2 linked regions of the Coturnix japonica genome follow. The protein of the gene in region 2 binds, or shares a complex with, the protein of the main gene of each other region. Links are inferred from orthologs where the notes say so. Each region holds a gene or a part of one and is shown on either strand. Other genes may lie near its edges.

The links. Proteins that work in one complex are often made in the same cells at the same time.
Region 1: the proteins of BCAR1 (region 2) and SH2D3C are in contact, whole or in part, in a crystal structure (PDB 3T6G), measured with the Homo sapiens proteins. The link is inferred for Coturnix japonica from reciprocal best matches to the Homo sapiens genes BCAR1 and SH2D3C. Residues at the interface, in NP_055382.2 of Homo sapiens: Ser739, Gln742, Phe746, Tyr747, Gln750, Asn754, Val779, Ser782, Lys783, Ile786, Leu787, His790, Val793, Phe794, Ile795, Asp797, Thr798, Arg801, Gln802, Ser816, Asn817, Cys820, Leu823, Arg824, Val827, Lys831; in NP_733745.1 of Homo sapiens: Thr543, Val544, Pro545, Val547, Gly616, Val617, Arg618, Glu622, Thr625, Leu626, Pro627, His628, Leu749, Leu752, Leu753, His771, Gly772, Val773, Glu774, Val776, Leu777, Leu780, Glu781, Ala783, Arg784, Ala787, His788.

Annotation. Positions count from the first base shown.
Region 1 is NC_029532.1:3,664,929-3,669,896, reverse strand, and holds part of SH2D3C (SH2 domain-containing protein 3C), read right to left. Parts: intron 769-4,968; coding exon 640-768; intron 508-639; coding exon 59-507; intron 1-58. UniProt on the Homo sapiens protein: Acts as an adapter protein that mediates cell signaling pathways involved in cellular functions such as cell adhesion and migration, tissue organization, and the regulation of the immune response.
Region 2 is NC_029526.1:680,682-686,094, forward strand, and holds the start of BCAR1 (breast cancer anti-estrogen resistance protein 1), read left to right. Parts: upstream 1-2,128; 5' UTR 2,129-2,160; coding exon 2,161-3,513; intron 3,514-4,046; coding exon 4,047-4,196; intron 4,197-4,342; coding exon 4,343-4,450; intron 4,451-4,643; coding exon 4,644-5,413. UniProt on the Homo sapiens protein: Docking protein which plays a central coordinating role for tyrosine kinase-based signaling related to cell adhesion. Implicated in induction of cell migration and cell branching. Involved in the BCAR3-mediated inhibition of TGFB signaling.

The DNA of each region.
Region 1 (4,968 bases), on a different chromosome or scaffold from region 2:
GCTTCCACCCCCAAACCCTGCTCCTGCCTCATCCTTAGGACCAATCCCCTGCACCCACCTGGTGGAGCACCCTTCAGCCCTGGTGATCTTGTCGGCCGTCAGCCCATCTGTCATGGTGATGCTCCTCCTCTTGATGTGCCCCCCCTTCTGGGAGGCCGGGCTGTGGGACCCCCCGTGTTTCCCATTGGCAAGCCCATAGCTGGCCTCCAGGTAGCGCAGGGGGAAGGTGCGGTTGATGGGGCAGTAGACGATGGCCCCGCTCTGTTCGGAGATGGCCTTGCGGTTGCCCACGTAGAAGCGGACGAGGGCGGGCACGTTGTCAAAGCTCTCCTGCTCAAAGAGGTACTGGACACGGCTCCGGCCGTCGCTGGACTTCACTGTCACCTTGTTGATCTTGAAGTGGAGGGGCTCATTGCGCCAGCGGCACGTCAGCACGTAGTCACCCAAACTGGTGAGCGAGTCGCGGATGAGGAAGTCGCCGTTCCTCTGCACGAGACTCTCTGAGACCTGGATGGGGATGGGGCAATGGCTCAGACACGGCCCCGCTGGCTGTTATTTAGGGCATCCCCCTCATCATGGCTGTGAGTTTCAGGAGTTTCCCTGTGGCAAACCCAGGCAGCCCCCCCTCCCCATCCTCACCTCCCGTGGGATGCGGCCGTGGTACCACGCGTGGCTGCGCAGGTCGGTGCTGCTCAGCTTCAGCTCCTCTTCCAGCTCCTTGTGAAGCTTCTCTGGTGATGAGTCAAGGATGTATTTCTCCTTGGAGAACTGTACAGCAAAGAGAGAAACCATCAGCTGGGGTTTTGCCATAAGCAGCACAGCCACTTCCCTGCAGGGTCCAAGGGATGCTGTCCCTTATCCTTCCCACTGCCAGCACCTTCCACATCCACTGTGTACACTGGCTGCAGGGACTGGGAAGGGAAGGACTGTCCCTTGGGTGCTGGTGAGTCCCATGTGCTGGGACTGCAGGGATCTCTCAGGGGGGGACGTTCCTGATGTCACCTACCAGGAGCAGACCTGTCCCTGAGGACGGACGCCTGCCCCAGCTCCTTGCCCAGCACATCCTGGGCTGAAACGCTGTGGGAAGCACTTCTCCAGGAGGAAACCCATGTTGTTCCTCCTCCTAGAGACATCTCCCTCCAAAGGGTTAACTCAGCTGTGTTTAGCCTGACAGCAGCATGAATAGTAATGACAAATGTAAAGGAAACCTTCTGCATCGAAATGAGCTCTTACCAGCACTGGTGCACCTGAGCCTGGAGGATGCAATTTCCCCTCCTCCCCTTCCCTGGAGAGATAAGGATTGCGTCACCTCTCCATCGGGCCACTGCTCTCTGCCACCACGGTGGGGGCATTCCCAGAGGGCAGGACATGTGTCAGAGGGGGATGTGTGTGCAACTAGCACAGCAGCTTGGCTGGAGCTACTGGGGTGTCCTGTTGTGCTGGCAGCCCCTTTGATGCATGCTGTCATCCATGCTGATATTGCTTGTGTGAGCTCAGGTGGCTCAGTGGCTCCAGCTCCTTGGCTCCATGGTGCTTGTTAGGGTAGCACCGCTGGTGTCTGTGAGAACAGGCCGGGTCTTGAAGCTGCCTTTGTATTGTTTCCTGGAGCACCAGGGGCTTCAGCCTCAGACTCTTTGCACCTTGTCCTGTGCCCTGAGCCGGTCTCTCTATGCTTCTCGTAGCACAGAATGCTGCTCCCCCAGCCTGTGCCCTCCACTCCTGGGACTCACTGAGTCCCTCAGCAGCTTTTGTCCCCTCTGCCTGGTAACCTCCCCAGCCTGGAGCTGTGTATATCAGCCAAGTTGGGCAGCAATCCCAGGGACGAGGCTCCAGCCTGGGGAGGTGGGAGGAGGAGGTGGGGGAACAACAGTGTGGTGGCCTAAACTCTCCAAGGCTTGCCCTCACCAGCCTGGACCTGCCTCTGTTCCTCCCTTCCAAACTGCTAACGAGTTAAAGAAATAAATAAATACTCAGACAGTGGAAGTGAAAGTGAATAAACTCCTGAGTGCTCCTCTGGCCTCAGTTCCTCCCCAAAGGAGGGTTCTGCTTGCTGGAGCTGCAGGGATGAGACACACGGGTCACATATTCCTGAGCACCTCCACTGCCCTGGGGCCCTGGAGGAGACAAAGCCATGTGGCACTGCTGAACCCTATGGATAATAAGTGGTCGCCGGTGAACGCTGCTATAGTCTGGCTGCATCTTGGGGGGCTGAGGCTGAAGCAGATGCCGTTTCCATGACAATACTTTGCTTGGTGTGAGCGGCCATGGGTGCCCTGTGCTGCAGCACTGCTGTCCCCAAGCACCGGGCTGCTGCCTGCATGGGAGCTGGGGTCTAACGCCCCCAGCAAGGGGATTAGCATCCGCTCTGCTCTATGCTGTACATCTGGGTTTCCCCCCAAATCCTCCCCATGCAAATGCATAAGATAACAAACACAAACCCAGCTGAGCAGTACCCGGTGTCTCCAAGCCGGGATTTGGGCAGCAGTCAGCTGGCAGCTGTGCCAGGAGCTGGGTGCTGAGCTGGGGAGAGGCACACAGGGCTTTGTGCCCTGAGTTGGGGCACTGAGGACAGCTGTGAGCAGAAGGACCCTAAGCATCGTCCCTTCAGCTGCTTGGCTGGGAAATGAGCTCCAATCCAACATTTACAGCCATCAAAAAGCCATCGCTTGGTGACTGCAACCACTCCAACCAGGACCCCGATGCATGGAGAGCCCACTTCTTTGGTATGCTGGCACTCTGGGGGCTGTCCTCGTGCTTTACATTGGCTTCGTGCTGCTCTGCTCCATGCTGTGTCTCGGAGGAGGCTGTGTGTGGCTGCCAGCTGGCACGACAAGGCGGCCGGCCCGGTGCTGTCAGCAGTGTGTAAGCGGATGTGTGAGCACCAAGCTGAAAAGGGCACCACTTGGTGCTCTCTGCTGTGCCAAGAGGACATCAAAAGATGTTCAGCCTGATGTGAGATCTTGCATGCTAGAGGGCTGGCTGTGGAGAAAATCCCCGACTTCCACTAGCGCCCAGCTCAAGCATATTATGCTGGCTGCCTGCTCAGAGCCCTAAGGCTTCCTCCTGCTGAGTGGGATGGAACAGGGGTGAGAGCGGTTCCCCAAACCAGCCAAACCAGCTCAGGAGCTGCCAGAGATGGTGCCAAACTTTGCCTGAGGAATCCCAACCAGTAGCCAAGGTGGTGTGGCTGGTGAAAGGAGAGCTCCTCCATCACACCCAGCAGCAGGCAGGCTGCTTCATGGTCTGCAGGTACAGGAGGGGATTCCCTGGGTTCTCCATCCCTGCTCTCCTCTTTTCCTCTACCTGCTGCTTTCTCGGCATAGGAAGCACCTTTGATCGCAGCTATGGACTAGAATTGGCAGCCAAAGGGCAAGAGCTGGGGGGTGGAGGGTGCTGACAGCTGTGTTCTGTGTAAAACAGTGGCTCTGCCTGGTGTGAGCAAAGCTCCAAAATCTGGCACTTGGCTTTTTCTCCTTGCAAAGCTGCTCTTATGAAACAGGAGTGATTTGCAGCCTGCTTCCAGCTCCCCCCTCCCGGACCTGAAGCAGCTGAAGTCAGCATGGAGAGCAAGGTGTATGTGCACCCACCCCACCCTGCGATAACATCTCCTGGTTATCCTCAGGGCACAACGTGCAGCTGCTCTCACTCTCCTGCTGCCTGCCCCACAATGGGACCCTTGCTGGGGAAATCCCAGACCTTACTGTTGCTCTTCAAACACCCAACTCCTGCTGCTGGAGCAGATGTGGGGCCTGGGAAGCAGAACTAGGAGGGAAGCCACTTGGAGCAGGTGTATGGGCAAAGCCTCAGAGTCACCAAAGCGCCTTTCTTCTCTGCTTAGCCCTGCATCAGGCAATGGGCTACTTCACAGCAAGGGGTTTTAAAACAAACATCCTTGTTTCGGCAGCCAGCACCATAGCAAAGCTGAGCACTGCTCTACTTGCCTGATGCAAAGGCTGCTGTGTTCACCAGTCTGCCCAGTGCTGCCTGACCTGCCTGTGTGCCTGAGGATGGACAGCCCACCCTGAGCAAGGGAAGAATCAGGTATTCATGGGGTTGCTCCTCACCTGCATGCAGTTAATCTCACTGATCTTGATGTCCCTATGGAAGAGAAATAGTTTTTCCCTCCATACTGTCTTGCAATGACTCTGGGTGTTTAAATAGACTCTGAGAAGGCTCATGCCCATCTCATGGGTTGCTGGAGGCAGCTCTTGGCTATGCCATGTCTCCACTGCTCCCCAATGAAAGCACACAGACTGAGGAGCTGTTCTGGTGCACAAAGCCTTTCTTAGGAGTGGTCCCAGCCATCCAAAGGGTCTCCTTTGTGGCAGCTCTGGAGCAGTGATGTCTGGCTGACAGGGGTGGGGTGGCTGGGTACATTGGGATGCTGCAAGGTAGGACGGCTGCTCCTGCTCATGCTATGGGGTGGTGCAGTGCTGTCCTAGAGGAGCAGGTCTCTGGTGCGGTATGGGGTGTGTGTGTACACACATTTCCATCCATCTCTATATTACTTATCTCACTCTGAGACGGCGGTGGCTGCTGCTGCTGCATCCCTTTTCAGAGCTGCTATTGGCCAGAAATGATGTCAGTGCTTCCCAGGCTGGGTGCACTGCCATTGGCGGCGAGCAGGGATGCGGCTGTCAGCTGGAAGCGCTCCAGTCATTCATGGGGACTTCAGTGTGTGTTTGCTGGGCACACTTGGACACAAATAGATGGTGAAGGATCTGGCAGGGCCAGGTGAGCACTTAGGGCTTCACTTGTAACTGTTTCTGTGGCTGGGATGGAGTGCCCTCCATCCCCTCCCGCATCCCTGCATGAAGGCCAGGCACCCACCTGTCCCTCCCTTGTTCTGGCAGCAGCTCACCACGATGCTGTGGTGGGGCACATCCCCTGCTGTTGCACAGTGGCCTTCTGACAACCAGAAGAAGCTCCTCTGCTTCTCTCCATTTACCCCCACTCAGCGATCACAGT
Region 2 (5,413 bases):
ACTTCCAGGCCAGTGGCTTCGTACAGCAGGGAATGGCTGCACTTCTGACCCCCATCCCAGGCCACCCCCATGCTGTCCCGCTGCACTCCGGGCAGGGTGGAGGACAGCGGGTGGTGGCAGCTCCAGTTCCAGCGCAGGACTCAGCTCCGCTGTCCTCTGCCAGCTCTCCCAGCGTCCTGCATGTTTCCTCGCTTGGATCATGTGTTTCTTGCCTCCCTTTCCTGAAGATGAAGAGTGATTTACAGGGCTCCAGAAAACACAGCTTGGCTGCCTAGGAACTGGGGGAGAAAAAACTGGGGGAGGAAAAAAAGGGATAAAGCGTTGGAGAGAAGCCCTCTGTTGGCTATTGGCACCACCTGCCCGCAGAGGGCCTGGCCCACAGCCCCCAACTGCATCCCCTTGAATGGCCGCCGTGTCCCCGTGGGCTGGGAGCAGTTTGGGCACTGCTGAACGGCCCCTTGTGCTCGGCCCCAAACAAGGCTGCCATTGTGTGCGCCTGCCCCACGGCTCCGCTGTGGGGTCCCGTGTGGGATCCATCCCATCCTCCCCATTGTGCGGCTGCAGAGAACGGGAACGTGGCTGTTTTCTCCCCGGACGAGCTGTGGGTCGTGGCAGGACATGGGCAGCCCTTTGGGCTGTATCTGCAGCCTGACAAAACATCTCTGCCCCTGGAAAGGCGAGGGGATAAAGCCCCGTTGTGATCCTGTTGGGTCCCGTGATATTACAAGCCAACGGGAATGTCCTCATTATTTCCCCAATATTGAAGTCTAATAAATCCCCGGCTGCCTTACAGGATTTATTTATCCGTTCATTGCTAGGAGACTCAGTGCCGTGTAATCCTATTGCTGCTGCGGGGGGCGGGAGGCAGCTTTCCCAAGGATGGAGCCGCGAGGAAGCAGCCAAAAGCCAGAAGCCAAAAGCTGTGTGGGTCCGTGTGGGTCCATGTGGGTCCGTGTGGGTCCGTGTGGGTCCATGCGGGGCCTCTGCTCCACCGGGCAGCTTCAGCCCCACGCAGGGCACAGTGCCACCCCTCCCACATGTGATGGTCCCACAGAGCTGTGCCCCACTGTGTGCTGGGCTCACTGACATGTCATGGGATCATTGAATCGCAGAATGGTTCGAGTGGGAAGGATCCTAAAGGCGTCCTGCACTGAGCAGGGACACTCACAGCTCCATCAGTGCTCACAGCCCCATTCTCTGACCTTGGCTGTGTGCAGGGATGGGGCAGCACCAGCTCTGTGTGCAGCCTGTGCCACTGCCTCACCGCCCTGACTGTAAAGAACCTCTAACTTAGCTCCGGTCTGAAGCTCCCTCTGTTAGTTTGAAGCCATTTCTTGTGCCGTCAGTGAGCAGCCCGTCCCCATACACACGGCACACAGCTCCGGGGTCCCGCAGCCTTTAGTTTCCGTTTGGGCACCGACCTCCCGGGGCTGCTGCAGCACGGGGCGCTCCCCCGGGCACGTCCCGGCTGTGTTGCCGCCCGTTGAGGTGCCCGTGCCCGGGGCTGGCCCCGCAATCACCGCCGAGCGGAAGCCGCCGAGTTCCGCCTGCGGTCTGCGGACGATACCGCAGCTCCGCCGGCCCCGAGGGAGCGGACGAACGGCTGCGGGGCGGCATCGCGGGCTCGACGGGCAGCGCCCGACCGGCCTCGTGCCTCCCACGGGCAGGAAGAGCCCTACAAGGGCCGGGGAGCCCCGACGGGCGGCGATAGGACCGCGGCCCCGGCCCCGCGCCCCCCCCCCCCCCCCCCCCCCCCCCCCCCCCCCCCCCCCCCCCCCCCCCCCCCCCCCCCCCCCCCCCCCCCCCCCCCCCCCCCCCCCCCCCCCCCCCCGCTCCCCTCCCCTGCCGGCCCCCAGCGCGGCCCCGCTCCCTCCCGCTCCTCCCGCCGCAGCGCCGCCTCCCGTCGGTGCGTCGCGGCCCATGGGCGGGGCGGGGCGGTCGGGCCCGTGCTGGCACGGCGCTGGAATGATCCCTCCGGCGCGGCCGCCGCCGCCGCCACCGCCATCCCGGTTCCGGCCGCCCGCCGCGGGCCGCGCCTCTCGGACACGCAGTAGCGCCGCTCGTTGAGCGCCGCGGGGCCGCGCCCGCCAGGCGAAGATGAACTACCTGGTGAGCGGGGTCACCTTGCGGGACGGAGCGGGGGGCGGCGGGGGCGGGCGGATGGGGCCGGGCCGGGAGCGGCGGTCGGAGCGGATCCGTGATCAGCCGGGGACCGAGCGCCGGGAGCGGGGCCCGTCGGGTGGGGAAGGGCCGGACGGGGCCTCCGGGACCGAGCGCGGCCGTCACCGACCCGACCCGACCCAGCCCCCTCCGGCCACGGGGTCGGCGCTGCCCGCCCGGTCCGGGCACGGCTCGTCCCGCGGGGGGCGGGGGGCGCTGCCATTGCGGGGCTGCGCAGCGCTGCCGGCACCGCGGGATCCACCCGAGCGCGGCGGCAGGAGGAAGGACAGCGGGGGAGGGAGGGGGCACCGAGCGGGGCAACGCGGCATCACCGGCGGGACGGGCCGGCAGCGGGACGGACACACGGACACGGACACACACACGCGTGTCCCTGTGCCCGCCCGGCGGCCGGGGGGGAATTCTCGGTGCGGGCTGAGTCACCTCCATGGCACTTCCTCCCCGGCGGGAAGGGGAGGGAAAGGCAGAGGAGGTCCCCGACACCGGGAGGCGCGGGGGGTCCGGCCCCGTCCCGGCGCCGGCTCCGGGACGGGTGGGTTGAACCGGGACGAGGAGGAGCAGCGCCGGGGCCGCGTCGGGTGCCGGGCGCCCTTGGTGCCGCCGAGTCCATCCGCGATGAGTCCCGACCCGGCCCGTTGCGGGGCTCTCTTGCAGAACGTGCTGGCCAAAGCGCTGTACGACAATGTGGCCGAGTCCCCGGACGAGCTCTCCTTCCGCAAAGGCGACATCATGACGGTGCTGGAGCGCAACACGCAGGGCCTGGACGGCTGGTGGCTCTGCTCGCTGCACGGCCGGCAGGGCATCGTGCCGGGGAACCGCCTCAAGATCCTGGTGGGGATGTACGACAAGAAGCAGCAGCAGCAGCAGCAGGCGGCCGGGCCGGGGCAGGGCCAGGCACCGCCAGCACCACAGCCCACGTTGCCGTACCACCACCAAGGGGGGTACACGCCGCTGTCGCCCGCCTCGCAGTACACCGCCATGCACCCCTCCTACGCGCCACAAGGGGACAACGTCTACTTGATGCCGGTTCCTGGCAAGGGGCAGCAGGGCCTGTACTCGGGCTCGGCACCCGCTGGACAGTTTCCCCCGGCTCCGGCCAAGCAGCCCCCATCCTACCCCAAGCAAACGCCGCCCCACGGCTTCCCCAGCGCCGGGCAGGACATCTACCAGGTGCCGCCGTCCCTGAGCCAGGCGGTGGACGCTTTCCCTGCGGGCTCTGCCAGCCCCCCCCAGGACATTTACCAGGTCCCTCCCTCGGCTCAGGCTCAAGACATCTACCAAGTGCCCCCATCTTTGGATGCGAGGAGCTGGGAAGGGCCCAAGCCCTCTGGAAAGGTAGGATGGGGGTCCAGGTACGGCGGTGGGTTGATGCTGTGGGGCTCCAGTCTGTTGTGGGGTTATGGAGGGGGGGAGTGAAGCGCTTTTGGCTGAGATGAGCTGCGTTTCCCTGGAAGATCCAGTGGGAAAAAGGGGACACTGAGCACCGTGCCTCGTGGGCAGGGCACCCCATTGATTGCGAGCATCCCACAACCTCCTATGGCTGCCGCACCACATTGCACCGAGATGCGGGTGGGGGTCTGGGCTCGTCCTCCATCGCTGGGTCCCTCGGTGCCACAATTAACCTTCAGGTCTCCATTCTCATCGCACAGGGCGGCCGTGCGGCCGGGCTTTGTCTGTAGCCGAGGCTGGCTGCTATAAATAACCGGTGATCTCATCTCCGTCCCTCCAGCGTCACTGCACGGAGCGGTGACAGCTCCAGGCCGGACGGGGAGCGCCCTCGCGTGGGCACCCACCGCACGGTGCTCCCAGATGGGCTCGGGGGGCAGCAGCGGGGGGTGCGCCAGGCTCAGCCCTGCCCTCTCTCGTAGGTGCTGCTGCCCACCCGCGTGGGGCAGGCGTACGTCTATGACTCCCCCAAGGCTGAGAAGGATGAATACGACTTTCCCCGCCACCTGCTCTCCTCGGGCTCACAGGAGATCTACGATGTGCCACCTGCACGCGGTGCATTACCCAGCCAGGTCAGCAGGGATGTGGGGCTGCATGTGGGGCTGTGGGGTGATGGGCTGCAGGGATGCGGCACCCAGTGCTGGGCTGAGCCGTGGTCTCCACTGTGTGTGTGCTGGGGCCACTCTCCTGCCCCTCACACCATCCCATCTCTTCCCAGCAGGTCTATGACACTCCCCCCATGGCGGTCAAGGGTCCCAATGGGCAGGACCCAGGGCAGGAGATCTACGACGTGCCCCCCAGCGTGGAGAAGAACCTGCACCAAACCGTAAGTGCCGCAGGGGAAGCTCATGCACCAAAAGAGACACGTGAGGGTGGTGGTGCTGCAGGATTGCGCTGTGCACCTCTCCTTCCACGAGCCCACTGCACGCCCAGAGCTGTTCTTATGGGCACAGGGGAGCGGGGCTGGTGTGCATGTGTGTCTCCAGCTGCACTGACACTACGTGGTGGTGCCCTTGCAGGTATATGACGTGCCACCCTCCGTCAGCAAGGACGTGCCAGACGGCCCTGTGCGGGAGGAGACGTACGACGTGCCCCCCGCCTTCTCCAAGCAGAAAGCCTTCGAGCCCCCCCGCCACCCCCCGGTGCTCTCCCAGCAGGATTCCTACCTGCCAGAGGATGTCTACGACGTGCCACCAGCGGCTGGGAAAGCCGCCCCCGAGCCCTCGTTGTCCCACGAGATCTATGACGTGCCTCCCAGCCTCAAGAAGCTGGGGGGGTCGGCCTTCCCCTTGCAGGAGGTGTACGATGTGCCGCGGGACCTGCACGCCCCCAGCAAGGGCTCGATGGACATGGAGGGTGAGTACATCTACGATGTCCCACCACAGGTGGACCGCGAGGCCAAGGCAGCTGACACCAAGCGTCTCTCGGCCTCCAGCACGGGCAGCACCCGCAGCAACATCTCCACCTCCTCACTGGACACTGTGCCCGTAAAGGAGCCGGCCAAAGGAGCCGGCAGGGAGTTCTCCCTGGACTTGGATGCTGCCATGGAGATGCTGGCCAAGCTCCAGCTCGGCGTCAGCGGTGCCGTCTCCAGCCTCATGTCCTTCATCAGCACCAACTGGCGCAGCCCCGAGCACATGGAAGCCAATGCTGCCGGCATCCGCCTGGCAGCCGAGGGTGTTCAAACAGCCCTCAGGGAGCTGCTGGAGTTTGCCCGGGGGGCAGTGGGCAACGCTGCCCAGGCCTCGGACCGCTCACTGTACGCCAAGCTCAGCAAGCAGCTGCAGAA